Arabidopsis thaliana: one gene and its partner. The protein of the gene in region 2 purifies or fractionates together with the protein of the main gene of each other region. This does not show direct contact. Each region holds a gene or a part of one and is shown on either strand. Other genes may lie near its edges.

Region 1 (4,573 bases), on a different chromosome or scaffold from region 2:
AAATGTTTTTCTTGCCATCAATTATAAGTTTATAACTAATAAAAATATATAAAATAAATGATGTAAAAACACACATTTTTTTTGTAGTGATTGTACTTGATTAGTACTCAAATCATTTTGTCATCACATCAATCAAGTGTATATGCCTAAAATTTTAAAGAGTAGATTAATTAATCTCAAAACTCTTTCATTTGGTGGTTAAGTGAATTATTTCCGGCGAATGGGAGGAAATTCTTGATCATTAAAGATTATTTTCAATCACTCGTCAATCTATCCCTGCTTACGAAGAAGGGATTTATAGGGTGGAATGGGTTAACGAGTTTGAAGACCAGAACGTGTGGTTTAAAACATAACAGGGGCTGAGATCATAGAAAACATAATTCACGACAGAAACACATGCTCTAGCTGCGTTATGGACGGGCCGGGACTGCATAAAACTATTTGTTTCGGGGATAGTTTTACTTGTTATGTTTGGCTTGTGTGTATTTTTTGGTGTCGTGAATGTTTGATGTTATTTTAAATAGAGAGATAGAAGGAGAGGCCTTTGTTTCATGCTCTGACGTGACAGTGGGTCTCCTGCCTGCGACTGGTGATCACGGCAAGATGATTGGTCCGGCAAGGATGTGTCAGGTGTCCTAGTTTTCTTAAAACATTATAAGTATAGATCTTTGGCTCATGTAAAGACTTGGAAAACCTTATGTTTTGAGCAATGGAGTGTTTGTTCTTTTTGGAATTACATTGTTGTAAGTTTTCAAAGGTTGGACTTGAGATGTAAGTGGAAGTTTCCACAGTTGTAACTTTTGAAACATCTGCTTTATATAAAATAGTACCACTTTTTTGGAAAAAAAGACAAAAAAGAAAAGACTTGGGAAACCTTATGAATGTTAAAAGTGTTGCCACTTCAATACAAACATCGTACTTAAAAATACAAGTAACCACTTGGGCCATTACAAAGTAAATCAACCATCATATATATATACACAATCACGATGAATAATGTTTTTTGAGTATATTAATGAGAAAGCTTGTATGAGATGATCAAGATGATGGCGAGAACGAGAGCCACGATTACCGATGTAATGATCCATTTGTTCCTAGTCATTCTCCTTGACATAGCCGTCAACACCTTCTTGCTCTTGTCAATGGCGTCATCCACACCATGAAGCTGTGATTCAAAATCAGAAAAGTTAGCTTCTCAATGATCTAATTCAAACAAATCATTGGCACTGATAGATACCAAACCGAGCAATTGTAGACGGTACCTTGTTGTGCGCATGAAGGAGGGTTTGGCGTTGCTGACTCAAATCTTGGACAATTGAGATGCCAACCTCTTCTGTCTCCAGCATTAGTCTTCTACTCTCCCTGATTCTGTCACTTGATTGGTCAAGCCTCTCCACGGACATTGCCAATCTTCCTCTTTGATCAGCAGATACCTGGAACATGGACAATAATGTAAATCACAGCAAAGTCTTTGCCATCTAAAAGTTTGTGTGAAGATGAATATAAAGGAGGGTCCCCTCAGGACAAAGAAGCCTAACTGATGCAAGTCAATTAAGACAACTAAGATAATGAGAAAACAAGAGTTTCTATTTAGGAGTTAGAAGCTTACTGCATGCAGATCCGCCATTCCGGATTCCATCAACTCTTCACGGGAAGACGGCTTAGCATCTGCGGAAGAGACTCGTTTGAATTCCTTCTTCAATTGGTTCAGATCAGATTTATACTCTCTTAGTTTAGAAAGACACACAGCTTTAGCACTCGGCTGCAAACTTCTTGCCTCAAGATCCATTTTCCGGATCTACAAAAAAACCACAGAAGCATATATATTAATTTTAAAAAAGAAAGAACAGAACGGTAACAACATTAAAGCAAGTTAAATGCAAATACCAAGACATCAGCTTCGTCTATTCCAGACTTGATCTCAGCAATCTTCCCCTTCTTCTCCTCTATAAAAGCACACAACAATATCTAATCAAACCTCTACTCTGGTTCTATGGCACCACAAAATGTAACAACTCCATGCATGTCTATGTACTATAACTCCAAGAAAGACAGTGGTAACCATAGACTGACAAACAAATGAAAAAAAACACCAACTCAATAAACCTCTGCAGCTACATAACTAGGTTCTTATGATCTTATCTTCAGTCTTAATTTCTTCACAAAACTACTTGACCAATCCAAGTAAATTACATTCCCAGATACTACAGAACTCGTCAGATCGTAAACAAGCTAAAACGATTAGTAAACACTCATGCACCTCTACTTTACAAATACCCCCAAATTCGGACAAAATTAGATGAAATAGATTGAGAAACAAGTTAATAAATCTATGCAACTACATAACTATCTAGACCTAACTAGGTTATCGTCTTCTAATCCAAGCAATGAGAAACAGATCCTATGTCTCAACATTCCTAAATGTTACAAAACTTCGTCAGATCCTAAACAAGTCAGGACGATTAGTAAAGAACACTAGTCCACCAGCTACTTGTCACAGCTCAAAAGCTCCAATAACCCCAAATTCGAAGATTCGAATTTCTAAAATCAGGTAAATTCGAAGATCTCGCGTTCAAGATCCGAAATCGGGAGCGTCTGGATTTTACCTCCGTTGGAGAGAACCGATGCAGAGTGACATTTTCTAGAGAGATTGGTTGAGAGCTCGCAGTATTGACGCTCGTACCCTTCAAATACGTCGCTCATCTTCAATTATATGTTTCGATCTTGAGAAATTTGGTGGATTTTTTCTGATCAATCGGATCCTTTGTTTGATTGGATTGGATCGGATCTAGAAGCAAAACAGTTTCCTCTTTGCTTAAAGATAATCAAACAACTCTTCTTCTTCTTCCTTTGTATTTCTCTGCTCGGGGACAAGGAGGAACAATCAAACAAAGCGGTGCGTTTTATATTGACACGTGTCAGCCACTGCGTATTAAGTCCCCCATGCTGCAATCGATGCAAATGTAGGTGAGACAAACCAAACCGAATCAAACCGTTAATTAAGATTGAAATCTAAGTGTCTTTTCTCACTTTTTCAGCTCTCGGAAATAGTGTACATTTTATGCAGAACCAAGATTACTCGTCCAGGAAATAGACAAATCCATTGATAGAAGTCGAATCTGTTTTGCGTAACTATGTGGGATTCTTTGATAGTCTCATGAAATCAAAGAGATCTCAGAGGCTAAGAGTAAGATAGTCCACTCGAGTAAAAATGGGGGGAACAAGCAGAGATTCTCAAACTATATTAGCCAGGTGAAGAGAACCAACAGATATTATTAGAAATTCCACTTGGGATTGTTCGTGTTACATCACATTCATCGACTCAGTCATTATATTCTACAAGAGTACAAGGTAAACATAAAAAGGATCCTTTGGGCTCTTATAGCTCATTCTTGACCTTTGCATCCCCATTTGGTAACACACTTTGCGATTGCGCCAACCGTTTCGCTTCCTGAATATGACCAAAACTGTTTAATCCCCTTGACTTACTATAATATATTAATGAAGATGTACAATACTAGTCGAAGTTAACAACTTACAGCAGCAGAACTAGCACGGATTTCTCTATACATATCGACTTCATCAGGGAAATTCTGTTCAAGCTCCTCCAGAATATGTTTTCTCAAATCCTATTTATAACAAAATGTTGATTAAGAGACTCAGTAACCTTAAGAATCATACACAAATTAAGAATCAGAAGAAAAGGAGTCACCTTAAAAGCATCAGTCTTGCCCTTAGTAACTTGATTTCTAGCTATGCAGCTATTAAGAACATCTTTCGTAAACTCATCCGGGTTCTTCCCATCATCAATCAAGCTATACGAAAACGCAAACATAAGTAAGCAAGTAAAAGTATCTATCTTCAAAGTGCATACTAAAAACAAAAAGGACTTGTTTTCTCACTTAAGAACCTCCATGGGGATTTGAATGTTGCATTTCTCAGACAACTTAGTCATGTTATCTAGCTCCATCACAAGAGAGTTACTGCAAATACACACACACACACATATTCATTCAAACAATAGTTACAATACCCAAAACAATAAACACAGATGAGTAGAGGAGTTACTTACAGGCGCTGGAGGAGATGGAGTTGAGACGCGGGTGTGAAAGAAGTGACGGTAAGGTGTAACTGATGAAGGACTCCTAAAGTTTTCTCAATAGAGTTTATGACTTGGGAAAGATTCTCCTTTGAATCATCAGCAACGGTCACAGTTGAAGTCCCATCATTGGTTTGATATCTGATTGTACCATTGCTCCCACCAATCCCTGCACTTGTGTTCTGTGTTGGATCCATCACAAGCTGCCACAAAATATAAACTTGAGATATATGACCTGATGCGTTAGCGATAACAAAACAAAAACGAGAAAACGCAATTTTCGATCTCAAAATCAAACGAAAATTCTTCAGAAACCTTATTCAATTGGAGTGGATTTTGGTATCCAAATTTCTAATTTTAGATGCAAATTCCACAAAAACGCCCAGATCAAGAATAACGATAACAATAACAATTAGCGTAGAATGAAGATCCGTGACTTACCTACAACAGAGATGCGTTTGGCGAGAGTGAGGT
Region 2 (5,004 bases):
GTTTTGCAGGCAGTGTAAGTCGCATTGCATGTACCCTATCATCTATAAGATACCTGAAACCTCAGTTTCTTATCTTTGCTCTGATATTTGCATAAAGCGTTTTACAAAGAGAGACTGATGATGTTTAGTTTTGGGCTTTGTGTGTCACACACGTTTTTCTGTGTTCAAGAAATTATTAGGGTCGTTTGAATATTTTTCCTTTATTTTTCGTTAAGGTTTTCCGTTGAATCCTGGTCCAAGGAGGAATCGAGTCTTTGAGTATAAATAGAGTTGTATCGAGTATTTGTTCTTCAGTCTTTTGTTTTAAGAAAATCAATAAAAAAACAAAAAGAGGTAACCCTAGTTACCCAAAGAGCTTGTGTTTGCATAGCACTGAGAGGAGTACTCTCGGCTCATTGTTCTAGTTCAAGAGGACGATCATCGTCTTGCACGAGTGTCACAAAATTTTGTTTAACATGAGCCTCAAAACAACTTGTCACGAGTTTCTCTATGAGTTTATATGTCTAGGTTTGCTAATCTAAAGTGTGTGAAGCCAACGCATTCGTTTTTGTTTTATTTTTTTCTCCCTTGCACAAAAAGATCATTTTCAATTTTTCATTATGAGTTGATTACTTGATTTCCTTCATGTGTTATTGAATTTGGAGGACTAGTGATTCTTGTAGTGATTATCACATTTTCCCACTAGGTAGTTTAGTGTCAGTTTATTTCTTAACTATAGTGATTTTAACCATTTACGGTTTACACAAAATACTTCTACAGATTTGGTAAAACGATTGGAAAAGAGAATTCAACTAGAAAAAAGAGAGGGTTACTGTTTGTTACAAACAAGACAAGCTGTTTTTCATTCTAAATTGTTGGCATATGACTAAAACAAAATATTCTTAAGAATTAAAAGAACAATCATGATCAAACAGAGTACAAGGAGTATAGTTGCACATTTCACCATTGCTCCTTCTCTTTGTGTTCTCTCCGCCTATTTAAAAATTGAAATGTCTTTGTGAGTTCCATACGGTGAAAAATCTGTAGTACTCACAAAATCTTATGAGTTTTGGGTAAAGAATCAAACCTTTTGTAGTTGTTTATAGCCTTCCTCGACCGATGTAGAAACGTTTTGGACATTGTAGTCTATCCGATCAACAATCGTGCCCTAATTGATACAAGAATATAAGAAAACTAATTGTTGAGAAGCCAGCAAAAACTTTGTATCTAGCCAGTTATGTAATTCATAAGCCTTTTAATGACTAAGCTAGGCACCTGGTCAATCACAAGGGCTGATAAGTCTTTCATTATCTGTGCAAGGTCATTCACGGAACCCAGAACCTAGACAGAACTCTGAAGTTAATCGCCATCGAAAATGTGAAGCACGCAGCTTCTTAAATATGGTCGAGTAACAACTTCCATTACCTGTTGTATCTCTCGTTCCCTTTCCGCTGAGACATGTTGCCCTTCCTTCAACTTGATTGTCTGGTGTTCATCGAAACCCTACAATTTATTGAAGACCAGCGATTCTCATTATGGTATTGGCAGAGTAAGGACGACAAGGTTCTGAAGATTGATTAAAAAAAATCTGACTCGTCCTAGCATGATAACCATAAGAAGTGTTTCTTAAAAATGTAAGGAAGACAAGGATAACTGATTAAAAATCTGAATTGCTCTAGCTAGATAACCATATTAAGTCCTTATTAATTTGTCAATGATATATAGTTTTACAATACAAGTAAGCACTTACCATCCCACCAAGTTCATCCTCTTCATCCAGTCTCGACATCTTTCCATTCACATTAAACTCTAAATCTACTTCATCCTGACCCTATGATTAGAGAAGCCAAATACAAATAAGAACATCATATTACGGTACATGCATGTCTCAAGAATCAACACTTTTTTTGTTTATTTCTTGAAAATAAAGGAAACATACCTCTTTCTGCTGCTGCAGACGTTTTAAGTAAGTAGACTGTTTTCTGCGGAGCTCCATGGAAAGGTTCTGAAGATCTGTTGCAAGAGAACGCTGTCAAAAGCAGTATGCCAAAAAGTAGGTCAAGTCCATTGGAGAGCCCCACTATACATGTACACAGAACTTTATCCTCATGCTACAAACTCAAAACATAGAATAACCCAAAGTACATTATATAGAGGGAAAAAAAAACACTTCATACATTTTGCTGACTGATAATGTCAACTAGATAGGTAGTCAAAACATATGAGAGTGATTTAACCCAAAATTCCTAACTTTCTTCTCTAAAAGCACAAAAGAAAAGGTAATGACCATGCATTCTTTATTGTTAACAAGCTCGATTCTGAAAAAGTGTCCAACAACCTACCTGCACATTTTTCCTGAGATTTGATTCTTCAGAAGGCCCTCTAGTAGATAACATCTGCAATCTCTTTTCTGACTTCCTCAACAAATCTGTGATCTCATGAGTGAGCATCTCGACTTCACGATGAATCCCTTTGTTATCTCCAAATGTAGGCATAAGAGCCTTTGAATGTGCCTTTGCTAGTTCATTCATTTTGTCTCGCACCTTTTGTATATTAAAAGTTATCTCCTCAGAATCATCAACCCAAGCTGGTGGCATACCAATTGTGAAGGCATCACTACTGCAAACATTCACAACAACACTTAAATCATTTGCTCATTCTGTTACCTAATTCGTTTAGGGTTCTAATTCTGTATCTCAAATCAATCCCATGATTACAATTCGTTTCTATATATAAGTTCATAGAATTTCCCAGGTTTTGCAGAATCAAACAACACATTATATTATTACCTTGATGGACCAGGATCATAGGAATTCAAAGGAGCATAAGAGGAGTGATTGGACCGGGAAAATGAACCGCTAACCATTTCGATCACCGGACCACCGAACGAATCAGACGCCGATAAAGATAATGGAGCACGCGCGCTCTTACACGCATCCCTGTGTTTCCGGTACACCGTCGTTCGATTCCTCGTCGCCATCAATACCAAATCAATTGATTCTCAACAGAATCTCGAAAGTAAAATTTCCCGGAGAAAATAAACAAAATCGGAGCTTTTGTCGTCGGCAAAAGCAAACGAATCTGAATCGCAAAATCGTTTCTCATTAGCGCGTGTTACAGACTTAGCAACGAAGGAGAAGTATTTGGGCCTTTTTAGGCCCATTTATATATTGGGCTTATAGTCCACTTGCGCGATAGGGTCAATATAAGTGTGTGGAGCACACGTTTTAAGACGGTGGCGCAAAGACGAAAATGCCCGTAGATTCGTGGCGGCTAAAAGTCAACAGAGGGACGTTGGTGGTTCAGGGTAAAAGAGGCTATAGTGACCGGTTAGGGGTAGTTTGGTCATTGGATTTAGCTCAATAGATTCGTGTCCATGGATTCCCTCATGTCGCCAGAGAAAAAGACCACATTTAAAGGTCTTGCCTTTTTGGTGTGTTTCCTCGCACTTTCAGGCTGAACAAAGTACTGACAGATGCTAATAAATACACGGAGGAAGAATATGCTCCTTTAATTATTATCTGAGATTTTTCAATTCAAGTTCGTGTGGATTCAGAATCAAAATGGAAGAAGATTTGTTGGGCATTTGTGGGTTTGATTCGTCGAAGAAATATCGATTAGAAGAACTTGCCAAGTATCAGTCGGGTTAGTGTAAAGATCCATTCTTTTTCCCAATTGCATTTAGCTTTGTTTTAGGGTTTATGCTTTATATGCAGGTGGTTTTAATTTCTTTATCAAATTTCAATTCTTTTGGCCCTTAAGGTCTAGTGAGTTTAAATTTTGTCACTTTATGGGTAAACTTTATGTTATGTAATTGATAAAAGTTTTGTGATGGTGAAATTTTTGTTTAGGTTCATGTATTGAGTTTGAAGATGATGATGAAATGGCAGTGGATTATCCATGCCCGTTTTGCTCAGATGATTATGATTTAGTTGAATTGTGTCACCATATCGATGAGGAGCATCAACTAGACGCCAACAATGGGGTAATTGCAACTCGTATCCATCTCCCAAATCAGTTACTGTTCTTTAAACTATACATTTGAGTTTTTACATGAAGCAGTTAGTTGTAAATTTAGACTATTTATCGTGTGATGTTCATTGTTGTACTCTAATGGTTACTTTAGTAGGCAGGATTGTGATTCTGTAAGGAGAGTTGGTAGGGACTTCTTGGATTTTAGTTCACTTGGATTATTTGCTTGATGCTATGAGGAACCATTTTGTAGTTGTGAAGTGTTTGGTGTGAGAAATGAAAACAGTCTTTTGGTGATGATGAATGTAATAACTTCTCACAAATTCAGCTTTGGTTGTGATGTAGATATGTCCGGTTTGTAGCAGACGAGTGAAGATGCATATGGTTGATCACATTACCACTCAGCATAGAGATGTCTTCAAGGTATCCTTTTTTATTTACTCTTCTTGCTTTCGTTACCATTTAGTAGAAAACTTGTAAGTCTTTTTGTGCTTATTCTATATCTTGGTATGTTTTATATCGGTTATCTGACATTTGTGTTCCTTGACGAATACTTACCTTGAACAAAAGCAGAGACTTTACAAGGATGAGTCATATTCAGCATTTTCTCCAGGGACTAGGAAATACTTACAGTCTCTAATCGATGAGCCGTTGTCTACTAATCATACATCTAAAAGTGTTCTGGACCCATTATTATCATTTATATACAATCCGCCGTCACCAAAGAAGTCCAAGCTTGTACAACCTGATTCATCTAGTGAAGCAAGCATGGAAGACAATAGCTTAATAAGGGATTCAACAGAAAAGTAAGTAATTCTTTGACATTTTCTTGATTCTGCTTGCTTTATCTCATCTTCTTAAACCTTGTCTAAAGATACATTTCGTATTTCTGTGTGCTCAGAGACTGGGAATCGCCGTCTCCCTTGTCAGATACAGAGCTACTAGAGAAGGCAAAGAAGAGAGAGTTTGTACAAGGTTTAATATCATCAGCCATATTTGATCACATTTACAACTTCTAAGAGCATAAGTCTTTGTATATGAAACTCTCGCAAA

Evidence for each region.
Region 1: the proteins of SYP42 (region 2) and VTI1B purify together in Arabidopsis thaliana (affinity purification with western blotting, with the first as the bait; one study listed by BioGRID). This does not show direct contact.

What each region holds. Positions count from the first base shown.
Region 1 is NC_003070.9:9,214,233-9,218,805, reverse strand, and holds VTI1B (Vesicle transport v-SNARE family protein), read right to left. Parts: upstream 3,037-4,573; 5' UTR 2,704-3,036; coding exon 2,607-2,703; intron 1,947-2,606; coding exon 1,888-1,946; intron 1,799-1,887; coding exon 1,610-1,798; intron 1,434-1,609; coding exon 1,263-1,433; intron 1,166-1,262; coding exon 1,013-1,165; 3' UTR 796-1,012; downstream 1-795. Other genes in the region: AT1G26665 (Mediator complex, subunit Med10), read right to left, coding at 3,380-3,451, 3,540-3,629, 3,713-3,815, 3,903-3,983, 4,073-4,296. UniProt on the Arabidopsis thaliana protein: Together with either SYP41 or SYP61, required for membrane fusion; the fusion of phospholipid vesicles containing SYP41 or SYP61 and VTI12 is triggered by YKT61 and YKT62.
Region 2 is NC_003075.7:969,234-974,237, forward strand, and holds SYP42 (syntaxin of plants 42), read right to left. Parts: upstream 3,110-5,004; 5' UTR 2,960-3,109; coding exon 2,769-2,959; intron 2,599-2,768; coding exon 2,322-2,598; intron 2,009-2,321; coding exon 1,919-2,008; intron 1,811-1,918; coding exon 1,730-1,810; intron 1,483-1,729; coding exon 1,405-1,482; intron 1,321-1,404; coding exon 1,255-1,320; intron 1,148-1,254; coding exon 1,067-1,147; intron 974-1,066; coding exon 866-973; 3' UTR 761-865; downstream 1-760. Other genes in the region: AT4G02190 (Cysteine/Histidine-rich C1 domain family protein), read left to right, coding at 1-118; AT4G02200 (Drought-responsive family protein), read left to right, coding at 3,543-3,624, 3,831-3,964, 4,026-4,067, 4,297-4,374, 4,525-4,757, 4,853-4,970. UniProt on the Arabidopsis thaliana protein: Contributes to the regulation of secretory and vacuolar transport pathways in the post-Golgi network, and to the maintenance of the Golgi apparatus and trans-Golgi network (TGN) morphologies.